Oreochromis niloticus: one gene and its partners. The protein of the gene in region 1 interacts with the protein of each later gene in a pairwise test. Links are inferred from orthologs where the notes say so. Each region holds a gene or a part of one and is shown in the gene's direction. Other genes may lie near its edges. The genes, in order: rad23aa, sqstm1, zbtb8a and mindy3.

The links.
Region 2: the proteins of rad23aa (region 1) and sqstm1 interact in binary tests that used the Homo sapiens proteins (3 or more experiments, as listed by UniProt). The two-hybrid records come from large-scale screens. The link is inferred for Oreochromis niloticus from reciprocal best matches to the Homo sapiens genes RAD23A and SQSTM1.
Region 3: the proteins of rad23aa (region 1) and zbtb8a interact in binary tests that used the Homo sapiens proteins (3 or more experiments, as listed by UniProt). The two-hybrid records come from large-scale screens. The link is inferred for Oreochromis niloticus from reciprocal best matches to the Homo sapiens genes RAD23A and ZBTB8A.
Region 4: the proteins of rad23aa (region 1) and mindy3 interact in binary tests that used the Homo sapiens proteins (3 or more experiments, as listed by UniProt). The two-hybrid records come from large-scale screens. The link is inferred for Oreochromis niloticus from reciprocal best matches to the Homo sapiens genes RAD23A and MINDY3.

Annotation. Positions count from the first base shown.
Region 1 is NC_031969.2:7,064,870-7,072,507, forward strand, and holds the start of rad23aa (RAD23 homolog A, nucleotide excision repair protein a), read left to right. Parts: upstream 1-4,631; 5' UTR 4,632-4,841; coding exon 4,842-4,907; intron 4,908-5,752; coding exon 5,753-5,914; intron 5,915-6,046; coding exon 6,047-6,249; intron 6,250-7,638. UniProt on the Homo sapiens protein: Multiubiquitin chain receptor involved in modulation of proteasomal degradation. Binds to 'Lys-48'-linked polyubiquitin chains in a length-dependent manner and with a lower affinity to 'Lys-63'-linked polyubiquitin chains.
Region 2 is NC_031966.2:36,315,661-36,323,314, reverse strand, and holds sqstm1 (sequestosome-1), read left to right. Parts: upstream 1-4,647; 5' UTR 4,648-4,826; coding exon 4,827-4,989; intron 4,990-5,298; coding exon 5,299-5,394; intron 5,395-5,473; coding exon 5,474-5,826; intron 5,827-5,902; coding exon 5,903-6,047; intron 6,048-6,296; coding exon 6,297-6,365; intron 6,366-6,502; coding exon 6,503-6,639; intron 6,640-6,768; coding exon 6,769-6,958; intron 6,959-7,042; coding exon 7,043-7,200; 3' UTR 7,201-7,359; downstream 7,360-7,654. Other genes in the region: E3 ubiquitin-protein ligase RNF4, read left to right, coding at 1-51, 3,407-3,556; uncharacterized protein mrnip, read right to left, coding at 7,403-7,654. UniProt on the Homo sapiens protein: Molecular adapter required for selective macroautophagy (aggrephagy) by acting as a bridge between polyubiquitinated proteins and autophagosomes.
Region 3 is NC_031983.2:27,606,049-27,613,975, reverse strand, and holds the start of zbtb8a (zinc finger and BTB domain-containing protein 8A), read left to right. Parts: upstream 1-4,911; 5' UTR 4,912-5,063; coding exon 5,064-5,158; intron 5,159-5,164; exon of another isoform or gene 5,165-5,753; coding exon of another isoform or gene 5,754-5,770; intron 5,771-6,078; coding exon 6,079-6,941; intron 6,942-7,035; coding exon 7,036-7,205; intron 7,206-7,354; coding exon 7,355-7,672; 3' UTR 7,673-7,927. Other genes in the region: gale (UDP-glucose 4-epimerase), read left to right, coding at 1,589-1,709, 1,948-2,063, 2,382-2,495, 2,806-2,982, 3,063-3,176, 3,293-3,359, 3,470-3,555, 3,637-3,714 and 2 more. UniProt on the Homo sapiens protein: May be involved in transcriptional regulation.
Region 4 is NC_031976.2:19,162,200-19,169,652, reverse strand, and holds the start of mindy3 (ubiquitin carboxyl-terminal hydrolase MINDY-3), read left to right. Parts: upstream 1-4,436; 5' UTR 4,437-4,557; intron 4,558-4,560; exon of another isoform or gene 4,561-4,695; intron 4,696-5,198; 5' UTR 5,199-5,435; coding exon 5,436-5,526; intron 5,527-5,853; coding exon 5,854-5,933; intron 5,934-6,762; coding exon 6,763-6,823; intron 6,824-6,965; coding exon 6,966-7,172; intron 7,173-7,370; coding exon 7,371-7,422; intron 7,423-7,453. Other genes in the region: si:dkey-12j5.1 (probable assembly chaperone of rpl4), read right to left, coding at 1-1, 681-773, 1,824-1,947, 2,046-2,155, 3,223-3,375, 3,489-3,635, 3,756-3,865, 4,016-4,205. UniProt on the Homo sapiens protein: Hydrolase that can remove 'Lys-48'-linked conjugated ubiquitin from proteins.

The DNA of each region.
Region 1 (7,638 bases):
AATAGTGGGCCCCGCAATACAAACTAAAGTTTTCCATTGACCTGGAGCTTTATTAGTTCCTACTAACTAAATGAAGAATGACATCTGCATTCAAGTACCATGCTAAAACACTGTTTTCTTTTTTTGCCTTTTAATATTTTTTTATAATGTTTTTTTCATGTTATGATATCTTTGTAGTGTCTAATGGGATACAAAAAACTCCACAAGCTGACAGAACTCACTTGGCCCTCCTTAACAAGGTTGAAAAATGAATGGCTCGTGGTTAATAATCATTGCTGTCCCCAGATGTAAGAATGACTAACAGACCTGAGGCTCCTTTTAGGCTCATAAAGAATTAACATGTTAGAGATATAATCAGGGGCAACCCCAAGTGTGCTTTAAAAGTTATCATTAAAAAAATCTTAAGCAGTTCTAAATCATACAAATAACCAGTGTATGGATGCAGGGGTTTGCTTTTGTTAGCAGTCTTGCTGCAGTATTTCAGACCCATTAAAGTTAGGACTGCTGGTATAACTGCGAAGGTTCTCAGTCATCCAGGTTATGGGAGTCTATAGAGCTCGGAAAGAAAAGCGTCTGGACTTCCTTAAGTTGCTTGAAGACGTTTCACCTCTCATCCGAGAAGCTTCTTCAGTTCTAAGGTCAAATGGTGGAGAGTCCCAGATTTAAGTCCAAGGTTTCGGGTGAACCCACTGTGAAACCTAGCCCCTCCCTATCATCTGTCTTAAGGACGCCAATGTTCCCATTTTGGACAGAGAGGACAGATGGTTTGAAAGAGGAGTCAAAGAAGCCATTTATGTCCACTGTGAACTACCATCTTTGAACAGAGGCGGTGATTTACGACACCAACTGTCTGCCATCTATAATCCAGTTTTGAGATCCCTTCCCAGACGCCTTAACGCCCACTCACATCCTGGGCCATCTGACCTCAGGAAATCACATGATAGGGTGGGGCTAGGTTTCACAGCGGGTTCACCCAAAACCTTGGTTGATTGCGACCTACACCCGTTTTCACACCTTGGCTCGTGTGATTAGGTAGAGGATCAACAGGGGGTTCATGACCCCCTTGGGGGACACTCCCCTAGAACTTAAATCTGGGACTCTCCACCATTTGACCTTAGAACTGAAGAAGCTTCTCGGATGAGAGGTGAAACGTCTTCAAGCAACTTAAGGAAGTCCAGACGCTTTTCTTTCCAAGCTCTTTAGACTGTTGGTATATAAGACTTCTGACTGCAGCATGTTGTAATAATATAGCTGGTATAGCCTGTATAAGACAGGAATACATGCCACCCACTTGTGTTAACAGCTAGATCGGGGAGTCATCAATAAAAACTGTTACAGTGTTTCAAGAATAGAGCCCAACCGATATAGAATTTTTAAGACCAATAAATCTGATATGTTGGTCATGTGCAGTTACTTATGAGTCCTTACTAAGATAATATGACAATGGAATTAAAAAAATAAGCTTGTTTTATTGTCATAGCAAGTCGCGCACACTCATTTACAGTCTGTCCAACACTGCTTGGAACAGCCGATTGTTACACTCTGCGTTAGCATCTGAGAAGTTGCAGAGTGCCCTCTGGTGGACAAACTATGCTAAATCAGTGCGCATAACATGGTTGAACGGTGTTTCTACCGTCCCTTCTTTAGTTTTTTTTTTATTTCAGTCAGCAAATGGCTAATATCAGCCAATCGGTTGGGCTTCACTCTAGAAGATGGCTCCATGCTCTGGTTGTCTAATGTATTTATCACCTTATTGTGTTAATCAACCGTATCTTTGGCTCCCATTGCTTAATCACTTTAGTCACTCACTTTAAAGTCTGGACACCTAATTTGCATCACACTTGCACTGGCTTTCTATGGTCTCCACATATCGTTTTAAATGTGGCTGCCCCTCGATACTTTTAACCAAACAGTCATGGTGTCAGATTTGGCGAGTCATGGCGCCAAGATTTAGTGTTTTATTTACTTTGTAAATGCTTCTTCCATACATCCAAGAGATCATTTAACAGCCATTATTTGCAGTTTCTGGTTAACTCCACAATATTGTAGCACTCTGTTGTCAGGTGTGTGGCTTAAGTGAGGCTGATGTAATTGAGGTTTGACTGCAGCACTCCAGCAAACAGCCAAGCTTACAGTCATAATATATCTTCCTAGAAAAGACTGTCGTTTTGTTTGAACAAAATAAAGGCCTCCAGAAAAACACACACACATGCACACAAAAGCGGACACACAATCACAGACATTTAAGTGGGTCTGTGTTTAGAGCCATATGCCTGCAAATGCGGCTGGTCTCAATAAAACATGGTGGTTGGTTGTTAATCTTTAATAGTTCTGTCCTTGAGAATTAACCCAGATGAACACACATTTAGGGCACCATCCTCTCTCTCGCACACACACATGCATTCACCGTCTCTCATTCTTCTTCATCAATCTCTTACGCTCCAACCGTTCCCCCTTTGACACCCTTCTCCTTTCACTTCATCACTCTGTTCCTTCCTCTCTCCGCTCTCTTTCTAATCTTGTCTTCACTTCCCTCTGTTCTTCCGTGATCTCTCCCCTCGTAGCCCTCACCCTTTTTCACCTGATTTCACACAAAACAGGGTAAGCCACTTTGGTAGCGGTAGTATCAGGTGGGACAAAAATCACCAAATACAAGTATAATAAAGGTTGCAAGGGGGAAAAAAATCTTGAGAAGAATAGGAGGATGATAATGAGGAGGATAAGGAGCAGCGGGAAGAAGAGAACCGACAGGGAGACCCTCGCAAACCTGGCAGTGAACGATGGAAGGAGGGGGTAACTTGATAAAAAATTGATGTCACAAAGCTGGCTCAAGACTTGACTGATCGTTGGCTCAATGTATGTGCACATTGTTGTGTGCGTTTGTAACAAATCACACACGTAGGCTATTATATTAGATTACTGTAGCACCTACCACAGTTTACCTTCATCTAAAGGTTTGTAAAATGGGAACAAGCTATTCTCTCATTCCCCGTGTTTCTCAAAAGGCACAGTCGTGTAACTCTGAGTAAACTCGCCAACCTTTGCATCCACCCTCTGTAGTACAGGCTTAGCATGTGTTGATGACAGTGCCCAGTTCCCATTCTCATGAAGGCTTCAGTTAAACAACCAAAGCAGCATCACATACAAACACCATCTCTCACACGCACACGTTGGTTTTTATTACTCAAAAATTTCCCATGTTTTCTATTCCCCTCTTCATTTTAATCAGAATGTGTTTGGCAGTGGTCAAACTCTGCCCTCTGGTGACTGTAACACTAAACTACACTGATTACTGATAAAGTGCGAGCTTGCAGTGTGTGTTTGAATAAGATGCCAACAAACCATCCTCCAAACTGCTTTCACTGTGTGTGTGTGTGTGTGTGTGTGTATACCTCATAGGCAGTTTTTGTCAATGCGCAAGATAGAGTAGCTAAACTTTACAGTTGTGATGTTTTGCTCAGAATCAATACAGGGCTGAGTTTATAGGGGACTTTTATTGTAGCAAAACTATCTGTCCCCATATGCTGGGGACATTTCCAATCTGAAAGCGCTGCAAAGCCTGGGAAGTAGGTCCTGAGGAAGCTGCAGCACCCTCTGGTGGATGTTAAAGGATGTGAATTTTATTTTTCCTTTTTTGTAGTTACTGTACGTAATATTTCAGTTTCAGTAAGGAGTTAAAAAGTGGATCTTTCGTGTACTTGTTCGTGTACATGTTCAGATATGTGGTCGATTTCTAAACGCACCACAGGAAAATGGCCATGCAAAAGGCAAACTTAGGATATCTTCAGTAATCTATTAATAATGGGGTAATAGAAGCACCGACAGTACTTCTCTCATGTTCAAAAAACAAAACGAAAGAAAAAGAAAAAAGGAACACTTAGAAAATTTTTAGTTTCCATAATTGGTATATTTTAAATCCAGACTGCCAAGGTTTCCACTGACTGTTGTTATGTCATTTTCTTTCCATTGAACACACTTTCACCGTGTCCTTAGGCACAGCTTGCTAGTACCGGGTCGGTCCGCCTTTTTCCTTCAGAACTGCTTTAAGTCTTCACGGCACAGATTCAACAAGGTGCTTTGTGTTTATGGTTTGATACAGACGGATTACAGTAAGTGTTACTAAACGTTTAAAACGGCTTTTTTCTCTGTAGGTACAGAATTGAAATCATTACACAGCTTCATTTACAGACTGTGTCATACAAAAACAGCTGCTGCTTAAAAAGGTCTTTGGGTGCTCACTAGTGTAGCAGCTGCCGTGATCTAATCACAAGATTGATTTTTTATTATTATGATTATTTTAATTTATTTGCTACAAAACAGACATATAAAGATTTAAAAGTCACATAATGCTGACCATGTACTTCTATAAAGCCAGTTATCTAACTACCAGTTCGTTAATGTTATTGTTTTGGCAGAATTTGATATGTGCATCACATTTCAGATAATATAAACTCAATTTTACAATAGCATTAACTTTTCTGACTTTAGCCTGTTGTAACTCTAATTGGCCATATTTTCATAATATTTATCCCATGTGGATATGCTGTCAATATTACCATTCAAAATGACTGTGTAGCTATTAGATAGAAACCCCATAGCTTGCCATAGTCGCGGAGCAGAGCACGTGAACGCGAGATCTCGTACCCTCTAGCGGAGCTTTCCTCGCCGCACCACCAACTTGTCACCAAAGATGGCGATTTGCTGAGTGCTCATGGATACACACATTTCTCGGCTAGTTGTTATCTTACCCGAAACGCCAACTTTAAAAACAAATTAACTGTTTAGCGAACCACTGTTTCTTTGTTTGAAGCACCTCTGACCCAGCGTCAGTCGCCGCTACCATGCAGATCACACTTAAAACGCTGCAGCAGCAGACTATTCAGATTGAGATAGACCCCGAACAAACGGTGAGTGGCTATAGCTAACGTGCTTTAAGCTAACAGTGCTAGCTGCGGGACCTGTGTTTTGGCTTTGCGTGAAGACCCGACAGCTTCCAGTTCGTTTATATTACACATTAAAGAACGACTAACAACTAGATTCGACTGGAGGATTCGCAATAGTCGCACACGTTACAAAGTGGCAACCCACAAGAAACCGCAAAACAACGCGACGCCTCACTTCTGTGATGAGTTAGCGTTAGCAAGCTAGCTAGCAGAGTAGCCCATTATCAAAGTCATAGCGACACAGTTTTAAACGACTTTTTTCATCATTTAAATATCGTTTCGCGGTTGTGTCTACTGCTCTTTGTTAAAGAGTGATATGGGTTAGGATTTAAATCTAATATCTTTTGATGAACGCAAGCTGTGGACTACGCTCGTGATTGCTAATGCTAACGCCTATGACACTGCCAATTGCGATTAGCTTCACTCAGAAACTGACTCTGTCTATTAGCATGTCCTCACATCCGAAGGTGTAGCTTGCAGGGCCCATTGTTAAGTGATATATTATAATGAAATAGTACGAGCATACTCACAGTGGATATAATTCTAGTGACATTCCAAAATTTGGTTTTTTAGTAAACACGTAATAGACTAGGACTAGGTGTGAAAGAGACCACTGCATTTTATAGCATTAGTAGACCTAACTTTAAAGCTGAAGTCAGCTAGGATGACTCCCTGCTTTGTAATGACTTAAAGGAAAGCCGGTCATCTAATATTAAACCTCTGGTATTACAAGCACTGGAAGACATGTCATGGATAATAATGAGTTCTTGGGTGTTTTTTGTTTTTTGATTTGTTATTATTACTATTAGGTGAAGGCCTTGAAAGAGAAGATAGAAGCAGAAAGGGGAAAAGACAACTTTCCTGTATCCGGGCAGAAGCTGATATATGCTGGGAAAATTTTGCAAGATGACACACCAATTAAGGACTACAAAATTGATGAGAAGAACTTTGTTGTAGTGATGGTGTCCAAGGTGAGATCCTAATTAATACTTGTGGCTGACATTAGTGTATTTGGCTTCTTTTCATGTTAAACAGATTTAACAATATGTTGATAGTCTAATAGCACTTTTTTTTTCTTTTTTCTTTTTTTAAATAAACAAAAGGCTAAGCCTGCAGCTGCAGCCTCACCATCAGTCTCAGAAGCACCCAAACCCCCAGTACAGGACTCTGGCTCCACATCAACAGCTGCCCCGACTACAAACCCAACTCCAGCCCCAGCCCCAGCCCCTGCAGCTGTCCCCATTCCTAGCGGGGAGGCCAAAGAGGAGTCAAGTGCCGTAGCCACAGAACCACAACAACCAGCTAGGTACACTCTCTCTATTACTAATGCTGTTTTTCTGCACTGCCAGCTGAACTCTTGTAGACACTACTAAATGGAGATAATTGTATGATCTGGACAGCTCGGACATTAAACAGCCTTTAACCAGCCAGTGTCATATTATAGAGTCTGTCTGGTTTCTGAATGCACCTAATTTGTGCCAGTGCGAGAAGATTGTAGGCAAAGTCACAGCTAGCAATTGTACATCCTGTGTCCTGCCTCCTGCTCTTTTCAGGCCTGCATCAGAGCCAGCCCTGCACATTCTTAACTGTTTTATAGGAAAATGTGTCAAAAAGTGTAATGTTTCCAGTAGCTGGAAAAATGGCAAATATTGCCTGTGATAATTGGCCGTGCTGATCATTAAAGTTTACTCTGTGATAAAGGAGAAAACTGGATGATGTCACTACATCATATTTTCCAGAATATGTGTAAGTGAGAAATGTTTAGAGCTGTAAGAACTGTGCATCAATTAAGAGATTGGTGGGAAATTACAATCATAAATTAGTCATTTTTTTCCTTTTTTAATTCTCCAAGCTGATAAGCCATTGATTCCTGCTTCTGTTTATCACATTAAGTGGATGTCTGCCTGGTTGTAGATGTACAAGTCGACCATCTTTGGTTGTTAAAAACCAGTCGGCTCGATTAATGAATAATGAAAACAACTGTAGGTATTACATTTTAGTAATAAAACGTATTATAGGACTTGTTCAAGTCAATATCACAACCGATAACTTTTAAGATAAGAACAGGGATGGTTTTAACCTGAGCACATAACTCATAACTGCAGTGCTTCCCATGCACACAGACTCTTGGTTGGGCTGCCTCATCTGGTGACTTTAAAAAAAAAAAAAAAAAAATTCTATTTATCAATTTAAGAGAATCACCATCCAAGATGGAAATTCTCTTAGACTGATATTTATAGTGGAAATCAATCCTGTCTTTTTTTGGTCAAAGATCAGCTGCAGATAACTAGCCAGCCATCCCTTTTTCTGTCTCGTGTCATCCTCCTGACAGTCTCGCTGACCTTGTTGCTGTTGTGTTGTTTCTTGATGTCATTCGGCTGCTTAGAATCTAAATCTGTGGGATCTGCTCTTAGGCTTCATGGGTTATAGAGTTTGTCAATAAGTTAGCTAAATTACAAACCAAAATGTTTTGCTTTGTATTTGGCAGGCATACCTTGGAAAAAGAGATGTGCATGATTAAGTCTGTAATAAAATCATTTTAAACATTTCCAGTGTGTCTGAGCACGAATTGACCTGCTTGTATGTACTGGACTAATGTATAGTTAAATCTGCATACTGACGATCGCTTTGAATACACTATTCAACAGAGTTACAGCTGCCCAACTACGTGTGTACCATTGATTATTACTGTTTC
Region 2 (7,654 bases), on another chromosome or scaffold:
TCAACTCCAGGGACAATCAGCTGTCCTGTGTGTCTGGACGGATACTCAGAGGTCAGTCACACCTGTGTGTGTGTGTGTGTGTGTGTGTGTGTGTGTGTGTGTGTGTGTGTGTGTAGGGCTGTTCGATATAACGATATATATCGGATGACGATAGAAAAACGTCTATCGCTTCATTTTACGCTATCGTTTGTTTCGTGGTGTCGCAAAATAAACTGTTTACGGCAATATTTTTTCATCATTTTGATGGTCACTGTAGTGGCTATATTAATTTCTTAAAGTTCTCTCTTTCTCTTATTCTCTTATATTTAATATAACCACACTACAGACGGACAAGCGCTTGTTTTTTATGCGTTTTCGTTAGCAACAACAACGGTAAAACCACCTTGTGTCCGCTTGTTTATTTTCCACATAAACCTTTCACAATAAAGCTCAAGATCCTGTTGAGGCTTTTCAAAATAAAACGAGTCACGTGAAAGATGCAGAGTATTAACGGATGAGAAGCAAAAAAGAGCCGCCAGGTGCTAAAAAATAAACCTTAGACTCAAACGTTAGAACAGACTTTTCTTCGCAGCACGCTGTGTAATAAATACTCACAAAGAAAACGGCGGCTGTTACAACTTACGTCTAAAAATGTATAGTTCCATGCATCAGTTAACACACTCGACTCCAGGTACACGACGCCCAGCTGGAAACACTTCACGCAAGTCGAGATGCCCGAGATTCACAGAATTTACAGGAAATGTTACATTTTTGTAATTTATATCGTTATATCGACGATAGATGTCTTAATATCGGGATATGAGATTTTGGTCATATCGCACAGCCCTATGTGTGTGTGTTCAGACTGTTCAGCATGAATAAAGCAGAAAAATGAACTTTACTGACACAGAGTGCCAGCAGCGAGGTTCTTTCTTTATCCTGCTGCACATGCTCAGTGTGAGCTCCGAGGACGCTTCCTTCAGGGTGAGCGTGCTCAGAAAGTATACAAACACATAACATCCTTATAGAAAATGATGTAACACTATAGATCAACTTACCTCAGAATATATAAAGCATATAAACAATTACAGCAATAGGATGCAACAAACACAGCAGTGCTACTAATCCAAAATACTCAAAGCTTCATAGAACTGAAACAAACATTTATTTTTAGCTCCATTCTGCTGCTGATACATACTTTAGGTTTCTGAATATTAAACTTGTTGCTGCCTTTCATAGTGTGTAACTTGAAGGCCCTGAGTACTTTCTCCCACACTGAAAACACTGGAATAATCAAATGATTTGAACATTACCTAATAAGACTGATTCAGGACAGACAATTAGTTCTTTTAAACTTTCCTAGCAGTCCTTCACAAACAGGGAACAGTCTGTCTATTCTCTCAATCTGTCAGCTGCTGCTGGCTCTTCCTCCTCCTCTTCCTCACACACTGCTGAGTTTGTCCTGGTGGATCATCAGGGGTGCAAAGCCTCACAGATGATGTGCAGCAGTGGGTCCCTCAGTCTGTCCTCACTCTGGACACTTGCAGTTGTCACACATGGAAATCAAATGTGCGATAAGCTGCAGGATTCAAACACAAGTGTAACTTATAAATACATGTTCATACTTTTATTCCACAATCAGAGAGAAAGAAACAGAGAGAGAGTGCAGGACAGACAGACAGGTGACAGTCTCAGGTGTATACACTGCTACAAAACAGCACAAGAGAAGGAGGATTTAGTGTTTGTGTTATTACGAGTACTAAACAAGAAGAGTTCCCAGATGGTCCAGTGGACACATGTGTGACTCCTGTGATTAAAGCATCTTTCTTTCAGCTTAACGAGTGAACCGTCAGCTCGTTCAAACACACGTTAAAGTCCGTTTGGCTCGACGCCACCGAACAGAGGCAGCAATATAACATAGCTAACATTAACAGTGCAGTGAATCCTGCTTGTGCCATCATATTCAGGACTGCAAACCGAGCAGCATTCACTAGCTGTGTCCCAAAACCTAGGCTGTATCCTCCTGAGGCGGCATTTGAACGACGTGAGGTAGGCTGTCCCAAATTGAAGACTCCTCCAAATGCGTCCTTCATTTTCCGAGATTTTGAAGGATGGGTCGGGTGTGTCCTTCGTGGCCCACCGTATCCCAGAATTCATAGCACGGCCCAGTCAATTCCAGTTTAGTTTAATATTACTCTTATTAATCTTTCTGGGTCACAAAATAAACTTTTAACATATTTCCAGGCGAGAAAGTAGCTGTGTAAACTTCAAATATCTGCTTGGTTTATCAAGAAATCGCATAATTGCAAAAGCGCGACGTTTTTGGAGATGTCTGTTACCCACCGGCTCGATAGCTAGCCGGGAGGTCGAGGCTCACTAGAGAACAGCAGACACCCGGCACATCGTTATCAGACCCGCCGCCGTCTTTGGCTACTCAGGTTAAACATGATATACAAGTCATTCAGATAACTTAAATGTTATTTTGTTTGGCTTTTTTCACTGTTTTATTTGTTCCGGAGTAAATCGGTTTGGCTGAGATAAAAGTTATTAGATTAGATAATAAAACTTTATTAATCCATCGGGAGGGTTCCTCGGGGGTTTTCACACAGCTGAATAAACGTCAAACAGAAAACTGATTAAACAAAGTGCGAGATTCAAGATTCAAAGTGTTTATTGTCATGTGTGTAGAAGAAATAGCTTTTCTCTGTGCAATGAAATTCTTCCTTTGCTGTCCATACAGAAGATGGTCGAGATGATCGAGAATTTACTCCAGTGTCCTGTTATATTTTAGATAGCAAGGAGCAGATGGCTGAGTTTATTCATGCCCATCGAGATGGCTGGTGACACAAATCTGAAGGCTAGACCGTCCCCTTTCACAGCCTCTCACTTCCGGCCTTCTCGGTCTTCGGAGGACCCAGCTCACATAGACCACGAAGCCCGGGTCCTCCGAAGGATGCGGCCTAGGAATTGGGACACAGCTAGTGTGAGCTCTGAGTAACCTTCAAGATCGACTTTACAGCCCTCAGCTCGCTGCTGATTTAATGCAGGGGACGCTTCCTTCAGTGTGAGCGTGCTCAGAACAAATTGGTGTTGGTGACTCGAGTGTGTCTAAAAAATAGTCCAGCACAATGCTTGATGAGATGTGTGCTTCCTGAGGCATTGTGGGTAATGAAATACAGGCTTTACTACATTCACATGGCCACTGATCAGTGAACCTAATCAATAAACATACATATCCTGACTCTTATTTTGAAACTTTCAGTGTGGTTTTGTGTTTTACTTTGAAAGTATTACAGTGATGTTTGAGTGCATTGCTCTGATTGGCTGTTGTGGGTTTTGTTTTTTTGTTTTTTGTTGTTTTTTTTTTTAATTTCTTTGTTCGCTTCTTTTTTTCTTTTTTTTTTTCTTTTTCTTTTTTTTTTCGCAGATCGTTGGGAGCGGCCGATTGGTCGTGTCCACCCGTTGTGGTCACGTGTTCTGCAGTCAGTGTTTGAGAGACTCTCTGACATCATCACACACCTGTCCCACCTGCAGGAAGAGACTTACTCACCGCCAGTACCACCCCCTGTACATCTGACATCACTCTGAGACCACAGCTGAGTCCTGCTGCCATTGGACCACAGGCCATGATGTTGATATTATTTGCTGCTGAATTGTATTTTTTTCTTTTTTGTGTGTGCGCCTCTGTTTGGACATTAAAGTGTTCAGTCATAGCTGGTAAACATTATGGATTAATGATTCATGTGTATTGATTTGTTTGTTAAAGCTGAAATAAATTTTGATTTGTTTCACTCATTGATCAGCTGATGGATCTACAAAGTTACGGCAGTAATGTGGAGGAAAAATACTGCACAATGTACTTTCTGTAATCAGAGTACAGGAAGTACTCACACACGCACAGCACTGTTTTAGTCTGACTGTGTGTGTGTGTGTGTGTTGGGGAGGGTGCTTGCACTGATGAATCATGGGTAGTGGATCTTAGTCTTGTGACTCTGCGTCACCGTCTCCTGTCTGCAGTGACTCAGAGTCAGCTGCCTGAAGAGTTGCTGCTGATTGGCCGAGGCTGCCAGAAAAACAGATAAGTTTAATAGACATGAATACAAACGCGTCAAAGATCAATAAATCAGTCAGACCTAAGAACTTGGACACTCGTTCTGAAGTTTAAAACTTTATTTAAAATGTTTACTGGGTGTTTTTAGAGATAAAGGTTAAGTTATCAGTTGAAAGGTTTTATTGTCCAGATCTCAGGATCAGGTTTAAAACGCTTCAGTCACGTGACCATGAGCATATCTTTGGTTTTGATTGGAGAGTAAGCAGCAGAGCCAGAATGATTGATTTATTAATCCAAACCCCGTCAGCTGTGAGCTCTGATCAGTCCGCCTGATTATTGATGATCAGTTTCATGTCGAAAGCCTGCTCTGTGATCAGGTATTGAAACCGTCTTGTAACGATGACTTTGCGATATTTTATTATGAACTTTAAACAGGTCACATGACTCAGGGAAAGTACCTCATTGGAAAGCCGTCGAGTCATTCCTCGGCTGCCATTGGTCCTGTGGGCGGGACTCTGAGAAAAAGCCAATAGAAGGCCGAATCTGTGTTTACTTCCCTGACGTCACATACGTCGTTTCCCACGTCTGTCGCGGAAGTAAACATAAAGCAGAGCGAGAGATTTCAAAGTGCGTCACAAACTCACCAACTCCTGGACCTGGACACCTCTCAGCGGACATAGACAGAGATAAACCCGGCCTCCGGTTGACTATCAGCGAACAACACGCAGACATACACCCAGCCTCCGGTTGACGATCAGCGGACAGAGACACAGGTGTACCCGGTGTCAGTGGCAGGATGTCGGTGACTGTGAAGGCCTACCTGCTGGGGAAGGACGAGGCGGTGAAGGAGATCCGCAGGTTCGCGGTTGATCAGGACGTATCCTGCAGCTTCGAGTACCTGAGCAGGAAAACTGCGGACGTGTTTGGAAACCTGAACAACTTCAACCTGTTTTACCGAGGTGAGCGCGCGGGGGTTCAGATGAGGGAATTACACTCTGATCGCTTCCTGGATTGTTATTGACTTAAGTTGCGACTGTAAGAGTGGGGACGTAACTGAGTTAGTGCGCAGGCGCACACTCACCTGACCAGACTCACCGGTTTCCCTGTAAACGCATGAAACCATAATCCGCTGTTGAATTAATCTTTATTTATAGTCATGTAAACGGACAAACACCCTCAAAGTTAGTCTGGAATTAGAAAGTCACCTGCAGCCTTTGTAGTTCACCAGCGTGTGACTAATGATGATGATGATGATGATGATGATGCAGATGAAGATGGGGACCTGGTGGCCTTCTCCTCTGATGATGAGCTGATGATGGGTCTGGGGTGCATGAAGGACTCCACCTTCCGCCTCTTCATCCGAGGTATGTTTGCGGTTTGTATAAATGTTATTGCTCGCTGTATCTGTCCTCCAGCTGTGCTAATAAAGCTTCATTCTTACAGAGAAGAAGGAGCACAGACGGGACTTCCCTCTCCATGCCTTCCCTCCCTTTGCCTTTGGGCCTCCCCCTCCCCCTGCTGGAGGTCCTCCACCTCCCCATGCTGGAGGTCCTCCACCTCCCCATGCTGGAGGTCCTCATGCCCCGCCCCATGGGCCACACATGGGTCCGCCTCCTCCTCATGTGGCCCCACCCTACGCCATGCACCCCAACGTTACCTGTGATGGCTGCGATGGCCCTGTGATCGGGACCCGCTTCAAGTGTTCAGTGTGTCCGAACTACGACCTCTGCTCCTCCTGCCAGGCTAAGGGGAAGCACACTGAGCACGCTCTACTGCCCATTTGGCATCCACTGCAGGTGAGTCTACCTGTGCAGGTCTGCAGGTGTCCTGTTCAGGCCCTTCAAAACATGACTGTGAGGCTGTGTTTTTCAGTGGTTTCCTCGGGGGAAGTGGATGAAGAGGATGAGACACTGCATGTGGAACCTGAACCAGAACCAGGCTCAGAACCAGGACAACGACCAGGACCAGAACGAGTCTAGCCCTTCTAAACCTGCTGCTGATGCCAACACCCCCTCTGGTGAGTTCTGCCATCTTGGTTAAAGTGATACTTGATCAATAAGTCAGATCAGAGCAGATAAGGTCAGGAAACGATGTACAAGAGGGAAAATGCAGCAACATTTCAAAATAAAAAGGCTGTGTGCGGACTGAATGGTCATGACATCAGAGCCGCGTTTGTGTGGCCCTTTAAACATCCTGTCACAGCACTAAAATAATGTTATGTGTGACATCTGTGTGATTTTAAAACATCTTTCATTTCTCCCTGCAGGCTCTCAGACCAATGTGGACTTCCTGAAGAACATTGGCGAGGGTGTGGCAGCCATGTTGAGCCCACTAGGTGAGTGTCAGCCTTATTTAAACAGTTGTTTGATGCTGTAAGGTAAAGACTAAGACGTCACTGTGTTTGTGCATGTGAGATGAGTGAACATCTCTAGCTGGCTCTAAAACAGGAAGTGGTGCGTGTGTTTTACACAGGTATCGATGTGGACATCGACGTGGAGCACGAGGGCCAACGGACCAAGGTGACCCCACCTACTCAGAGTGGGGGGGGTGAGGGCGATGAGGAGATGGAGCATACGAGCAGTGAGGGCGGGGCCAGTCTGGGAGCAAAGGTAACTTTTATTTTTATAAAACCTCAAAGTGCTTCATGATGTAAATATCAGAAGAAAGAACAATCAGCTGATCCTGACGGGACAGCAGGGAGGAAGAACTCCCTTTTAACATCTCCTGTGACCTTGTAGCGTAGTGACCCTCAGGTGAGCAAGGACTCTGATGAGGAGTGGACCCACCTGAGCTCTAAAGAGGTCGACCCCTCCACAGGTGAACTGCAGTCCCTGCAGCCTGACAACCAGGAGCAGGGGCCCCTGTCTGAGGGGCAGGCGGGCCCCAGCGGGCTGAGGGAGGCGGCACTGTACCCACACCTGCCTCAAGGTAAGCTGGCGTCCACACTCGGTGACTTTAGTTCTGTTAGTACTGACCTCTAAACCCTGCTGACCTCTGACCTTTTGTCCTCAGAGGCCGATCCCCGCCTGGTTGAGTCGCTCGCCTCGATGCTCTCAATGGGCTTCACGGACGAAGGCGGCTGGCTCACCCGCCTCCTTCAGGCCAAGAACTTTGACATCGGCGCTGCGCTGGACGCCATCCAGTATGCCAAGCAGCCCCGCCCACACTAGCACTGATGATATCATCACGATGTCAGAACCTGCATCTGATTATTTCTACTCTGTTGTCTGAATGACAATCAATACTGTCCATTAATCAATGTTTCTGTTCTCTTTATTGATCATCCTATAAACGTTTCTGTGTGAGCAATAAAAGCATGAAGAAAAGCACAGTCTGTCAGAGTCTCCTCTTTAGAAACAAACAAATGCACGGTCACTCTGGGCGACGTTTAACAAGGAAGTCGTCGTCAAAGTTAAAGTCCTCGCCGCTGTCAAACATGGAGGTAACAGGAAGAAGAGGGCGGGGCCTGCTGATTATTCCAGCGCAGGAGGGAGCAGCGACACCGCTTAAAGACTGACTACACTCATGAACTGTAGGCTTCTCCCCCTCCTGCACCTTTGAGTCAGGGCTGAGGAAATGAGCCCACCTGGTGGTGGAGAGGGTGGGGCTACAGGTGTTCATGGT
Region 3 (7,927 bases), on another chromosome or scaffold:
CTCCAGCTCGGCCTCCTGTTTTTCTGCCAGTGCCACGATATCAGAATCATATAGCATAGCAGATCTCACTGCCATCTTGTAAATCACATCTCTTGCACGCTGTCTGTTGCTTTGGATGCTGGACCCCGGGTTTTTTGTGTGTTTTTTAGTGGAAAACAGCACAGTGTGTCTCAGTAACAGTATGTCCAGATATTAACCCCTTTTTCTGACCCTGGGTGTTTAAACCATAATTCTGAGTACCACATTAAAAACTAGTACTGTTGAAAGGGGTTATGGCGGTCCAGTGATTAGCACTCTCGCCTCACAGTAAGAAGGTTCTGGGTTTGAATCCAGACGGGGGTCTCGCTGTCTGGAGTTCGCACGTTTTTCCTATTGCTTACGTGGATCCTTTCTGGCTTCCTCCAGCAGACCAAAGACAATTGTAAATAGGTAAATTTTGATGAATTAAATTAGCAGATGAAAATGGGTGGATGGACTGCTACTAATAAAGCATCTAATTGCCAGTTGTGTAAAAGTATTTATCAGTGTAACATTAATGGATGTCAGCATTTAAGGAGTAAAGAAGGACCTAAAACTAAACTAAACTGAGATGGGCTGTAAAGAAGTCCATCAGTTATATTTATCCCATATGGTTTTACAGAAGTTGGTTTCGCTTTCTTGAAACTGAAGAGAATTTAACGTTTGTGCTTTTATTTTGAAAGCAGGCGTACAGGAAGTCGTCTGTTAATCTTTCGCTTGACTCCGCCCCACGTTTTACAGGAAGTAAAGAAATGTCTACAGGAAAAACTAGAAGACTTCACTGAATGAACTGACGGATAAACCTTCAACACTCACCTCTTCTGCTTCTGCTTCCGACAACATTTATCAAGAGTCTCCACCGGAAACGCCTGTTCACCTCTTAAAGAGAACCTCGGTGAGTATTTTATAGAAAATTTAAATGAAAGTGAACTGTTGTGTGTCATTTTAGCACTTATTACTTAGGTTATGTCTTTATTCTTCAAGTAATATTATAAGATTTGGTTAATTAGCCTGAAGAAGCAGCTTTTACTTTTTTCTTTTAAAAAAAAAAGCCTCTAAAGTTGCTCTGATCCAATATTTCATCCATTTGAATTAACTGTAATGTGTGACGACCTGTAAAGAGATCAAGTATAAGCCTTGAGATATTCTGATTGCTTCCGTGGAATAAACAGGATGTCTTAAAGATGAGTAATAACTGGAACTGAGTAATAAAGTTTCATCATACAAAGTGCAAGGAAGTTGTGGCCTGTTGGAAAGAGAATATCACTCTCTCAAAAGATAAGATGGCTCTTAACAATAGCCAGTAGTCACTGACGTGTTATTCTTCGAGCAATATAATTGTTTCATGTGGTTGGACAGGTTAAGGCTTGAACCTGCTGACGTGGGACAATACAGGTGTGTCACTTAGCTTTAAAGTGGACTTAACAAAGCTTTCAGGTGTGTCAGGATAAAGGATATCCTCATCCTCCAGTCAGGATGACATAGTTTTGCTTCCACTACAGCATTCAGACTGAGAGAGGATTTTGATTGACTTGATGTGATTGTATCTTTTATCCATCAGACCCAAAGAATGGCAGAGAAGGTGCTGGTCACAGGTGGAGGAGGCTACATCGGGAGTCACTGTGTGGTGGAGCTCATTGAAGCAGGCTATCAGCCAGTCGTGGTGGATAACTTCAGTAACGCTGTGCGAGGTAAGCTCCGTTACGCACACCAGTGAAGAGCTTTTACTGAGAAAATTATTGAAAAAATTGTAGGGTCTACCTTACAATATAAAGCGGCTTGAGGCAACTGTTGTTGTGATTTGGTGCTATATAAATGAAATTGAATTGAATTGAAAAATAATCAGCGTGATACTTAGACCTGGTGTTTCTGTGTGTGTGTGTGTGTGTGTGTGTGTGTGTGTGTATATCCATTGTGTTTTGGATTGAGGAGAAGGGAATGTGCCAGAGAGCATACGCAGGATAGAAAAGCTCCTGAAAACCAGCATTGAGTTTCATGAACTGGACCTCCTCGACCGCCCCGGCTTGGAAAAGCTGTTCAAAAAGGTCAGAAAGTTGTTACAGTTGCTTTGTTTTTTCTAATTATTTATCTGCATCTGAAACTGTTTTACAGTGTAGACACTTTGATTTGTAAAGTCAGTATGTTTGGGTTTGTTTAGCTGAAAAAACAGCCCAATTTCTGCTTTACTGTTACACCCATAAAACAATCAGCAATAAGAAAAATGCACCACCATTTAACTTTTATAGCCTTTGCTTGTTTTCTTAAAAATGTCCCTGCTGGCCTGCATAAACTGTCATGAAAAGCAGTTCATTTGTAGTATTTGCGGCCTGTGTCACACGTGCTTCTCTGTTTGTGTGTTGCAGCATTCCTTCAGTGCTGTGATTCACTTCGCAGGGCTGAAAGCTGTGGGCGAGTCGGTGGAGAAGCCATTACTCTACTACAAAGTGAACCTCACCGCCTTCATGAACCTGCTTGAGGTCAGTCAGTAGCTCCTGGGTGATCTCAGATTAGCACTTTGAATCTTTGCTCTGCACTCATTATTAATCCCTGCTCTGACCTTCTTCTGTGTTTGCCGAGCGCACACCCGTGTGCTCATTTGAAAATGAGCTGATAAATTCTAAAACCGCGTCCTTCTGAGATGTTATGCATGTGGAGCTCACCGTAACAGCCAGAATCGGCCTTTTTTCCTCAGCCCTGAGCTGAATGCACGTGTGCTGTGGACTGCTGACTCTCCGGCCACTGATTGTGTGTATGTGCCATGTTTATGTGTATCTGCATGTGTCCCAGGTGATGCAGGCTCACAGAGTGCGCAATCTGGTCTTCAGCAGCTCCGCCACAGTATATGGAGACCCCCAGCGCCTACCCATAGATGAGCAGCACCCCGTGGGAGGCTGCACTAACCCCTACGGGAAGACCAAGTACTTCATCGAGGAGATGGTCAAGGACCACTGTAAAGCTGAGAAGGTAAACTCAGAAGAAACACATTCACAGATGTGCACACTTCCATCTCCTGAAGTGTCTCATTATTCCTTCTCTGTGGGCAGGACTGGAATGCTGTGCTGCTGCGCTATTTCAACCCAATCGGAGCTCATTGCTCCGGTCAGATAGGAGAGGACCCTCAGGGTATCCCTAACAACCTGCTGCCATATGTTGCCCAGGTATCTAAAGTCTCTGCCAGATGCCACGCTGTGCGCATCATAGTGATTGTTATTTCACTGTTTCATCTGTCTCCATGAATCGCATGACTCCGATTTGCTTGCATTGCTTAATTTAGGTAGCCGTTGGGAGACGAGAGTGTCTGAGCGTATATGGAAATGACTACGACACGATCGATGGCACAGGTAACGGAAATCACTGCAAATCATTGCACTTGCAGGCAGCTTTGAAATAGCACTTTAAATAGCAGCCAGATACTCAGAACCATGCAAACGAGGCTCCTTTCTGTTTGCAGGTGTGAGAGATTACATTCATGTTGTGGATCTGGCAAAGGGACACATCGCTGCTCTGAAGAAGCTGAAGGAGGACTGCGGGTGCAAGGTATAACAACTTGGAGCAAATTTCCATCACGACCATTGTCACATAGATGCTTTAGGTATTTATTAGTGTGTGTGTCTGTAGGTTTACAACCTTGGGACAGGAAAAGGCTACTCAGTGCTTGAGATGGTGAAAGCCATGGAGAAGGCTTCAGGAAAAGAGGTGAGTCATCGTGGTTACTGTGAGAGCTGAATCATGTTTATAGTCTGTTTTCTGGAAGTGACGCAAAGCACCACCAATCTGGCACTGTGGAAATACCTCTGATCACCTTATTTGTCCATGTAATTAACACAATGTGTTTTCTGTTTAGATCCCATATAAGATCGCCCCTCGCAGGGGAGGAGACGTAGCTTCCTGCTACGCCGACCCTCGCCTAGCTGAGAAGGAGCTGGGCTGGAAGGCTCAATTTGACCTGGAAAGAATGTGTAAGGACAGCCACGCTGGAAAATCTGATTCTTCTCCATGTTTGCTTTTCTACAGTCAAATAAAAGTGTTGTAGTATCTCCTGTATGATCTCTGTGTTTTTTCTTTGCACCTCTTTCCATGCAGGTGAGGACCTGTGGCGCTGGCAGTCCATGAACCCCACTGGATTTTCTAACGGCACTTGCTGACGCAACCCGAGTGGACTGTTGCTTAAAAATCCTCTTTTAAAATCACCAAAGGGAACCACCAGCTTCCTCATTCGCGCAATGACACATAAGACCTCAAGAGAAGCTGCATTGTTTTTATTTTTGTTAAACTCTAATGATTCAGCTGACTACAAGAAGAGTATCTAAATGTCTGTTTACTCTTTGCTGTTAGCTCAGACTTAACAACTGATATTTTCTCTATAAATGTATTGATCTGTGAGCCATAACAATGAAAGAATAAATTAATTTTCTTACTGAAAAGCTGAAACGTGCACTTTCTGCCTTGACTGTGTGGAGTGATTGTGACCCTGGTTGTTGTTAAATACATACAAATATTTTTTTTTCAGAAATGGGGGGGTAGATTAAAGACTCGGACCTGTGTGATAAGGTTAGAGGAGCATCATGAGTCCCTGCACAAATACTGTATGAATATCGCTCCTTTCGCAGTGAGGGCGTCTGTTTAAACGGGGCACTGGGACTTTAAATGGCTCCTTGAACCCTCGGGCACCCAGTTAATAAACACCCACGTCAGCACAGTGCTCCAGTCGGTCTAACCGGGTTTCGGTCTTTAGGGCTGAGCAGGAAGTGCCTGACTGTGGACCCTGGACGAGCAAAGAAAAGAGCGGAGGGGGGGAAAGGCAAACGGGAATTAAACATGGATATGGTGGCGGACTTGGGGGCGAGCAGACTGTACAGGGCGCCGGGTGAATCGAGCCACCAGTGAGTATCGATGGATTTTGTCAGGGGGAGTATGAAGGCGTGGGGCGTAAGCGGGTCCTGCCGACACCTCGCGCCTGCGAAGCAGTCGCTCGCTTTGGGCAGCAGTCAAATCCTCCCCGCTGCTCGCCGGACCTCCGGAGAGAAGTGGGGGTGGTCTTGAGGATGAAAACGGGCGTGTTAGCGCGTCGTTGCCCCAGACTGTTACACAATGCGAATAGATGTGTTTTTCCAGCTCGCAGCGCGCTCACTTGCCGGAGGTTTGTGTCTGTTTTTCTATTGTGTGCTGGCTGAAGCCTGAAGTGGGCGTCGCTCCAGGACAGACAGACTGAGCTGCCCGCTTTCCTCTCGCAGGACTGCAGCACTGTCGTGTCGCTTTGTAGGTCGAAGGATGTCTGATTTTACGCGGAAGAGCTCGGTGGGGACGTTAGACTTGATTTCGCGTGCCGTGAAAGGCACCATGGAGTCCTGCGGGCGGGCGTTGCACCGTGGGTTGTCGGGCGCTGCGGAGGTTGTCACACAGCCGCGCTGATGGCTCATTAAACACGGGTGCGTGCAATCCCGAGCCTGCATGAGCACGGATTGAACAGGTTACCGTGAAATAAGAACTGGTCTGAAAATCAGGGTGCTGGACCTATTTTTTTTCTTTTTCTTTTTTCTCTTTGCGTGTCCGGCTGCAGTGTTTTATTTTCTCTTCCTACAAGTCTGACGCGTTTACTCCGTCGGGGGTTTCTGGAGCGCGTGAGACCTCAGAAATGATTCAAGGTTTTGTCACCCGATGCTCTCTGACTGACTTGAGTCGGGTGTAACCCATTAGGAGAAGATTTTGCTTGAAGGATCCTTCAACAAATCAAAATGCAGAAAAAAGTCAGGTGGGCGGGCCTTCTGCTGAGCCGGTGTAAAGACAAAGATGCAAAAATTGACAGCTGCAAGCATGTGGTGATGCTGTTGTGTTTATTATGCTCAGATGAATGTGGCATGATTACCATTGTAGGCTGTTACCAGACCATTAAAATCCAGCGGCCTGTGTTTTCCATGTTAATTTGGCATTGGGAAGAAGTTCAGTAATGAATGTCCACCAGGTCTACAGGACTTGTGTCATTTCTTATTTTCTTGCTAAAGAAGTGAGTGTGTCTTGCATACAGAGCTAGTGAGCGAGCTGTCATGTTGTCTCCTGCAGGCAGCCTCAGAGGTGGTTCAACACGGCCGACATCACAGTGTCTCACCAAAGCAACCTGCTGAAGCAGCTCAACCAGCAGCGCCGCCAGGAGCTTTTCTGTGACTGCAGTGTGTTGGTGGAGGGCCAGCTCTTCAGGGCTCACCGCAATGTTTTGTTCGCCAGCAGCGGCTACTTCCGCATGCTGCTGTCCCAGGGGCCCGATGACACTGTCAACGCCACCTTTGACGTCTTCAGCCCCGAGACCTTCACGGTCATCCTGGATTTCATCTACTCTGGCCAGCTGGACCTCTCCAGTCACAATGTGATTGAAGTCATGTCTGCAGCCAGCTATCTGCAGATGAACAACGTCATCAGCTACTGCAAGAACTTCATCAAGTCCTCGTTGGACATCAGTGTGAAAGATGAAGACAGCGATCGCTGCCTCAGCTTGTCTGAGACCTGTAGCTTTACCAGCGGAGCAGGAGAAGACTCCACAGAGCAGCATCAGGGCCCCTGCTCTGTCAGCCCTCCACCTGCGCTCTGGACTCGGGACAACTCCAGATCACAGTCTAGCTTTATGGGAAAGGACTCGGACCAGGATCCTTCGGCCTCGGCCCTGAAGACTGATCCAAACAGCCCTGTTAATGAGCTCAGTGCAGATGCAGAAGACCTCCAGGACCCTCAGGACCCTTTGTACACCTTGCCTGGATCAGACCGTCGGCGTGGAAAAGGGAGTACAAAGAGGCGAGCGACCAACAGCGCACGGTCCAACCAGCACGAAGACTTGGACATCCAGGAGGCGCGGACACGAAAGGCTGAAAAGGCAGAGGAGCTTTACGCCACTCTGCCACCAATTGTGGGTGTTATTGGACACTTTAATAAAGGTGTGTGCCACCAGAAGATGATGATGACGGGAACACTTGGACAGAGATGATAGGGAAAAGTCAAATGTCACATTTTCTCTGTTCCTCTTTGCAGATTCGAATCCTACCATGCGCTTCAAATGCCCCTTTTGCACACACACAGTGAAGAGGAAAGCAGACCTGAAGCGTCACCTGCGCTGTCACACCGGTGAGAGGCCGTATCCATGCCAGGCCTGCAATAAGCGCTTTACTCGCCTGGAGCATCTACGCAGCCATTTTGAGACGGTAGGTGTTTTCACAGCAGATGGTAAATTTACACTTTCTTCGGTGTCCGTGTCGGCTTACAGCTCCAGGAAAACAAGCTGCTAAACAAATTTACTCTAATATTTAATAAATCGTTATCCAATCTTTTCTTTTTCTTGTTAATCTCCCAGATTCATCAAGCCAGGAAGCTGGTGTGCAGGAAGTGTAAGTGTCAAGTGACCGAGGAGACCGGGCATGTGGTGTGTGAGGGCACGAGACGCTACCGCATGTGCACAGCGTGCATCCAGGAAGTGGGCTGTGACGACATCCCCATGAACAGCCTGGAGGGCCACAACGAGGAGCCGGCGCTGTTACTGGGTGTGGACGGGGAGGAGGAGGGGGACACAAAGAGGAGCTGGATGGTGACTGACGACGATGACCTGGCAGAAGACTCGGGGGCCGACCTCATCATCCAGCAAGTGGACGTCAGCGACGAAGAGCTGCAGTGAAACTGGACCAAAGTGTGCGTGTGTTTTTGTGTGTTTGTGTGTTTGTGTGTGTGCAGATGCATACCCAAATTTGAAGTGTTTGTGTTTTAAAGTGGCCCTGGTATGCTCATTTTCAATTTAGGGGTTTACTACAATAAATTTACATTCATTAGTATTCAAAAATCATTTTTCTCATATTGTACTGTGCATAGTGTTGCTGCTGCACCTCTTTTCACCATCTGCCTGAAACGATCTGTTCTAGGAAAGTGAGGTATG
Region 4 (7,453 bases), on another chromosome or scaffold:
TCTGAAGGAGAGAAAGAAAGAAGAAAAAAAATAAAAAAGGACAATACAACCACCTCTGCAGTGAGCGCTTTCACAGGCATCCACAAACATAGTTCTTCCTTTGTCTGATAATAACACAATCCAATTTCAAGGTACAAAACGTTTTGCAGCTATGTGGCTGTTAATCACAGCCAAAGTGTCAGCAGGCTGTGTTCACATCAACCTGCTCCCGAAGATAAGAGTCATAAGAGTGGTGTCACTGGGATTATTGTATCAAATCATCACACCAAACCCTCTTACATCACTTTTTTTATTATTTGAATCTGCAATTTATTTTGAGCTATTCAAAGCCCATCCAGCTTTGACATTATAGCCATTTTTCCTTTATCAAATTCCATGTTGTACTTTGCTTGTTTATACTTTAAAACCCTTCTTGGTGTTGAATTTATTATTTGCTTTCTCTCTGCGCAGTCTAACACAAATGTATACAGGTTTGTGAAGTCTGTGTTCCACCTTTCATCTTCTATCATTCCCTCTTTATCTCTTACTTTTTTTTTTATCTGTACAGCTGTCCTTATATTTGTGCACACCACATAGCATGCTCTGACAATCTTGTTAGTTAAAGGGGCTTTATAAATAAACTGGGATCTTACTGGTGCTGGTGGAAGTGAGACAAATACCAGCCCACAGCTACAGCCTACCTGAATGTCTTCCCCTGCGCTGGACGAAGCTGCTCTCTGTTTTAGCGCAGGTAGCCACATTCCGACACTCTTCAACAGGTAATCTTTGCCTTCCTGAACACAGAAAAAGAGCATATAAATATAAAAAGCTTTTTAAAAAAAAAATATACATTTCATTTCTTATGCAAATGTATATACAAGAGTAATTGGAGAATGCACTCTTCACACAAATCAGTTCCTACAGACTAATCCCACTGTATAATTTACTTCCACAGACTAGCTATTGGATTTTCTACAGAAACCAAGAATCCCTGGATTAATTTGGGAACAATTTATTTTTTCTTGTTTCTTAGAAAAAATTCCAAAAAAAGAGACTTTGTCACAGGATGTGGAAAGGTGTGGAGTGAGACTGGAACCAGCCTGACCCCTACAGCTTACAGGTAGTATTACAGATCCTTTGCTGCTCCGTTTGGTGATAGGAGTGCATGGAGAGTACGGAGAGACAGTACAGAGGTTTGAAAATACCCATTACATATAGCTTGCAAAAAACAGTGGTAGGTGAACTGAATGTTGTTTGTTGTATCATCAGTGCATGTTGAGGATGATTGAGGCAGACAGCACTGCCAACAAATACTTCCACATGGTAATTTAAGGCCATATATCAATTAGATTACATTTCAAGTAAACAATAAACATGCTTAAATACTTCAAAAAAAAAAAAAAAAAAAAAAAAAAAAGCTTTTGCCTTGAATGCCGTCTATTAATAGTGGTTTAAGATGCTCTTCATTTAGCAATGGCTCCCGCATGTACAAATATACATGTGATGTAAAAATACAGAAAGTTTATTTAGGATATTGTTCTAAACTCACTGTCAAATGTTACACTCAAAAGGTCTTGTGGATTTTTTTCTAAATTTAGTCCAATATGCTTTTCCCTCATCTTTTCTCTTTTTATCAGATGACTGCATGACCTTAATGATCCGCCCAGTAATTAACATTCCTATCGGCATGACCTGTCCATCTGCTGATTAATCGCATACGATTCAATTTGCTCAGAATAATTAACTCAGCAGATTCCCGCTTTAATGTGGTGATAACTCATCTCAAGTGTGTGTGCGTGCCTCTGAGTGTGTGTGTGTGTGTGTGTGAGAAAGAGAGGACTGACCTGGTTTCTCTCTGTACTGAACAGGTAACTGGCCATAAGCTGTAGAGCCTCTGGGTTGTCATGGTGATACTGTAATGCTTTCTCTATGAACTCTCTGCACTTGTCGGAAGCCCCCTCCTCCATGCTACATGCACACACACACACACAGAAAAAGAAAATCTCAAAATATTACCAAAGGCAGGCCTATCAGTGTCAAGTGCATAACTCTGTGTGCTCTAGTACCAGAGGTCTGTTAAGTAAATCTCAGCGATGGAGCAGTAGGCTACACTAACATCCTTCTCTGTGGGGAGTTCAGGGTCCTCATCTGGTGGGGCAGCAGCTCCAGCCAGAGCCTGCATGAATCAAAGGGCAGACTTCTTTAGTTTCTAAAGTTCAGATTATTCATTACAACTCAAAAGAGACTGAAAGAGACTTATATGAAACAGAATCTAAGACCGGTTTTCTTTTTGAAATGATCAGAATAAAAAGGGACACCATCTGAAAAAGCCTTTTCCTCTGAAATCATATTAACATGTCACAGCAGGAAGGAAGCAGTAACATCAGAGTTGCAAACTGCGTGAATTAAATTTATCCAATTTACTTTCAGAGTCATTGCTCTGTTCGTGTTGATTCATTGTCACAGTTATTGAGTACTGACACACTTATCTAGCTAGAAGTGACACTTCTAGCTATTATATTGAAGACGTCTGAATGAGAGTAATAAAGAGACCTCACCCTCACAATGATATTAATAAACGAGGTGTCACAAAGTTAAACAACAACAAGGATATTGAATAGGTGAATGTAAAATTGACAGAGTAATGCATTTGCAATTATTACAATGTATCCTAACATTTTTAACTTCATTCTTCTATTCTATTTTCCTTCCATTTGTTGTAATTTAACGTTAACATTGTAATGCATGGCACATTATTATGTCCTCTAAATGAGAAAACATTTTATCTTTGCTTACGCAAAAAACTTCACGAGCCATATTTTCTTTTTTAAATAAATAAATATATTTAAGGGGGAAAAAAGGCAGAAGTTTTAAAACTACCATCCTCTGACCACTTCAAGAACTGCCATTTTACTCTTTTACATTTTCGGTGTAAAATCTGTTTTGTTTCAAAGTTAAGTTCACAGTTCATAGTTTTTAGTGCACTGTAGTGTCGGTAAAGTGTTTTGTAAATATCTGTAATTAGTATTACAGGTCAGGAGTAACAGTTAAACCTATGAGGATGCTCATAGGTTTGACATAAATCTGTCATAACAATGCATGTCACTAAGATATGCATTGTCCAATAGCACCCTCTTGTGAAAATGAAAAAATTCAGGAGCCTTGAACACAAAGTCATGACATCTAGTTCAGTTTCCATAACCAGATAAACAGAGAGGGGTATTCCTATGTTCAATCACTTACTGTTGTTGTTCCTTGTTTCTCCAATGTATTCAGTAGGACTTGTATGCCTTTGGTATAGTAGTCCACAGCCTCCCGGCCTGTGTGGATTTGTCCCAGGTACATGTACTTACTGTGGCCAATATCTGGGCTAAGCTCCACAGCACGCAAGAATACGTGAGAGGGGAGTCAAGGAAGCCACAACAACCACTGCATTAGAGTAGAATGAAATTATCACAGCAGTGTAGTGAAAATACAAAATTATGGACACAAGCAGCGAGAAAGGATATTTCTTTTGCTTTCTGTGTGTCTCCTAATTCAGAGGAAATGTGCCCCAGCATGTCCAGAACTTGCAGGTTGGTGGGCTCCACATCCAGGGCTCTTTGACAGAAAAGGCTGGCCATTTCAAAATCAAAACTGTCCATGCATTCTTCAGTCTGTACACCACAACACATAAGGAAAGCTCAGTAGTTGATTAGAATTTAAAGAACAAAAGGATATTAAGACAATGGCATATTTGGGTCCTGCCTTTGTTGTGGATATGTAGTAAACGTTACCTTCTGTAGGAGTTGCTGTACTGAGTACTTCTCCGCTGTCTTCTTCTTGGCTTTTTCTTGCATTCTTACCTTCATCCTTTCTTGAGGTGATAAACCAACAAATCCTCCATCTGCAGAGATGTTACAAGTGCACGTATAACAATAGTTTTTATTAGAGCTACACTCAAAACATAACATAACAGTCCTTCCTTTCTATAAACATTGTGTGTACGAATTTGACGTTATACACAGTAAATAAAATGATAAACCAGTGAACTCACCCCTGTTTGGACGGTTATCTTTCCTCTTCGGTTTATTTTTCTTTTTACCCTTAGCTTGACCACCCATTCTGAAGAAAAACGCGTCGTATATTTCTAAAATCCCTGGGCTCAAACCCCACTTTTCCCAAAGTGAGACTCTAAACACGCGTGGACAGTAAGTTAAAGTTAGCTTAAAGTATACAGTGCACATGCGCCGGATGGTGACTCTATTGCTCCTACGGAGAGGGGTAGCGGCCAAAAAAAGCGAAAGTCCTGACTAAAGCTGGTAAAATGAAACGCTGAACGAGGATATTTTATATGCCTGTTGGTATGAGTCCGTTTATTAAAAAAATATTATTTAATTGAGAAGATTTCCGAGACTTTAATAATGATATTTTTCTTTCTCCAAGTTGCTAAGGAGAGCTTTAGTTCAGTTAGACGACTTTCCATTTATGGGCGGGGTTCTTTAATATGATTGACAAGTCTGTAGACTACTGAGGCAACGCGCTGACGCCGCAGCCCTTGACGCATCTGGAACTTTCTGGATTTCAACCAATGAGCAAGTACGTCAATTGTACGCCTTTCTCTTTTTTCACACAATTCCGTTGTAAATAAACGAATGACAGAGACGCGGTTGACGGTGAAATTGCTACCAGAAAATTTCATCAATACAGAATACCATTATCGGACTGTGTATTAAGGTAATTAAGGCCTTTAATATAAACCTATCGAAAACCTGGGAGTTCATGTAACGATTCTAGCCGTCGTTTGAATGTGCAAAGTAAATGAATGACAAAGCAATGAAAGATTAGCTGCTAGTAGTGATGCTAATGCTAACTGTTGACAATACCAAACTAACTCGGTTGTTAAGATCAAAATTTGGTGCATTATTTTCTCAAATGTCTTGCAAGGTAACAACGTCGCCACAAATAAGCAAATTGTTATCTAGTTATCAGTTTTTAATAAACGATTCTTAAATTAGCGTTAATGTAACTGGTAGATGTTTAGCTGGTTTATAACCCCGGGAAGTATAAATTAGTATTCATTTACCAAAGTAAAAAACTAGTTGGTCTTAAATCGGGCGACTGTCATCGTGGATATGAAAGTAATCTGCACTTCCTAATGGACATTTTCCCCCACAGACCGAAACATGAATATGTTTTTTTCTCATAAACTGCATGGTTTCTGTTCTATCACTTGGTAGGCTGCTGTGGTTACGTTGATGTCATTCCTACCCGCCAGTGTGCTGTCAGTACTTGTAGTCAGGCTGTCGTGCACAGGCAGCTTGTGGCCAATGCCACAGGTTTCGACCTGCCTGGAGAAGTAAACTGTCAGCAACAAGAGGAAAGCGCAAGTTGGTGTAAACAGGCCTATCTTTTCTCCACCTGGCTGTTGGACTGAAGAGGGACTGACTTCGGATCATCCAACACTGAAAGCTAACATGTCAGAGTTAAATAAAGATGTGGTGGATTTGGTTTGGGGGAGACCCTCCAGTGGAGTGTCTGTCTCTATTTTCCGTAGATGGGCCCAAGGTATGATACTTTTTCTCAGTATGTTGTCAGTATGTTGATAAGAGTTTAAACTAATTTCCCCCAAAAGGGGTATGAAGCAATAATCCACTGTATCCAGACTTTAAGACCAAAAGACAGCGAGCAGTGATTTTGTGTGAAATTCTAGCTGAAACAAAGTTAAAATGTAAAATACTGAAAATGAAAGTATAAATACTTACCTGCATGTTGCGGTTTACGCCCTGATTTTGGTCTGTGGCCCTCAGGTCTTCAGCTGGATATCCATTTGTTTGTTTGTTTTGGTTTTTTTAAGTTGTTATCGACACAAAATCTTTTTGCTGTTTATGACAGGATTTGTTTTTAGTGAAAGTGAGCTCACAGCACTGGAGCAGTTTGAAGGAGGACCCTGTGCTGTAATAGCACCTGTCCAGGTAAGATCGTATTCAGCCTTCTGACAATTTGTCCTGCTCATTTATGATAAAATATCTTTATGCAATTAGACTAAGGAGCTTGGAAAGAAAATAATTTATGCAATTATTTTGGTTAAAATTGAGATTATAATAAATGCAAACTGAACTAAATATGCCACAGCCTGACAACAAGGTTTTCTGCTTTAAAGGAGATGTGTTATGCTCATTTCCAGTTCCATGCTTGTGGTCTTGGTCTTAAAGTTTAAAATAATTGTATTTTATCTTACATTGGGCTGTAGTGTAGCTCTTCAGTTCATCCACATTCTATAAAACATTTTTTAGCTACTTTTACCCTCCCTTGAACACAATGTTCTGTTTTAGCTGCTCCTTATAAAAAAATGGTCTTATTTAACAGTGGGTAGGGCTACTCACAGCCAGACATGCATGGCTCACTTTAGAGTACCTGAACGTTTAGCTAAGAGGTATTATGTGCACATGTGCTGACCTCACATTTTGAAACATATTCCTTGTTTTATGTAAACATCCACCATTAAGGAAACGTATAATAGATCCCATCACGAGGGGAAAAAAAGTACACTGGATTTATAAAAGAAGACAAAGTGAGACAAACATTGTGAAAAATCTAATCTTGACCATCTTGTTTTGATCAAAAATTAGATTTGTATAACTGGCGACCCCATAAAAATGGTTACTTGTATAAAATGAAGTAAATATCAGTTTTTGTTAGTCTGTGATTGCTGATTGTGGACAAACAATGTCTAAGAGATAAAGCACATTGCACCATGCAATATTTCTTGCAAATTTGGTTACAGACTTTGTTTCTTTGCAGGCTTTCCTCCTAAAAAATGTCCTCTTTAACAGAGAAAGTTCCAACTGGAGACAAATGTCAGGTAATTTCTTAAATTAAAACAAAAAACAAACTCATTCATTGAATTGCCTGTGCTCTTAATTTTATGTAGTCGGCATGGTTTTTTTTTGTTTGTTTTTTTGTTTTTTTTTAAAAAAAGCACGTTTTATGTTTGTGTATGTTAGAGGAGGAGCAGAAAATGGCACTTTGTTCGACGCTAAGCGAAATCCTGGAGTCTGTCTGCTCCAGCACCTCCACGGGGTTCTGCCTGGTGACCTGGGCCAAAGGACAGAGCCCACACACTAGCACACAAACGATCACACAGGCACAGTCGCAAACACAGGAGATGCCAGAGCCAGCAAGCAGTCAGCCACCACAGGAACAGCAACCCAGTGAGTCCTACGTCTGTCACATTTCCATAAAAGATGCACGTTGAAAATGAAACTGCAGAAGTATTTTTACTGTTTAAATGAAGACTTGTCTTAATATTTAATTGTTAAATAGAAATTTTTAATGACTAATTACTTGATCCAGTATTTCGATGTGACATGCTCTAATGCTACGGTTTCTGTGTGTTTTATTGTGCCTAGCTGCTTTGGCTGCTGAGGAGCTTGGCTGTGAGCAATTTCACAGTGTTCTCCAGTAAGTGACAGTAAATATTCTGTCCACATAT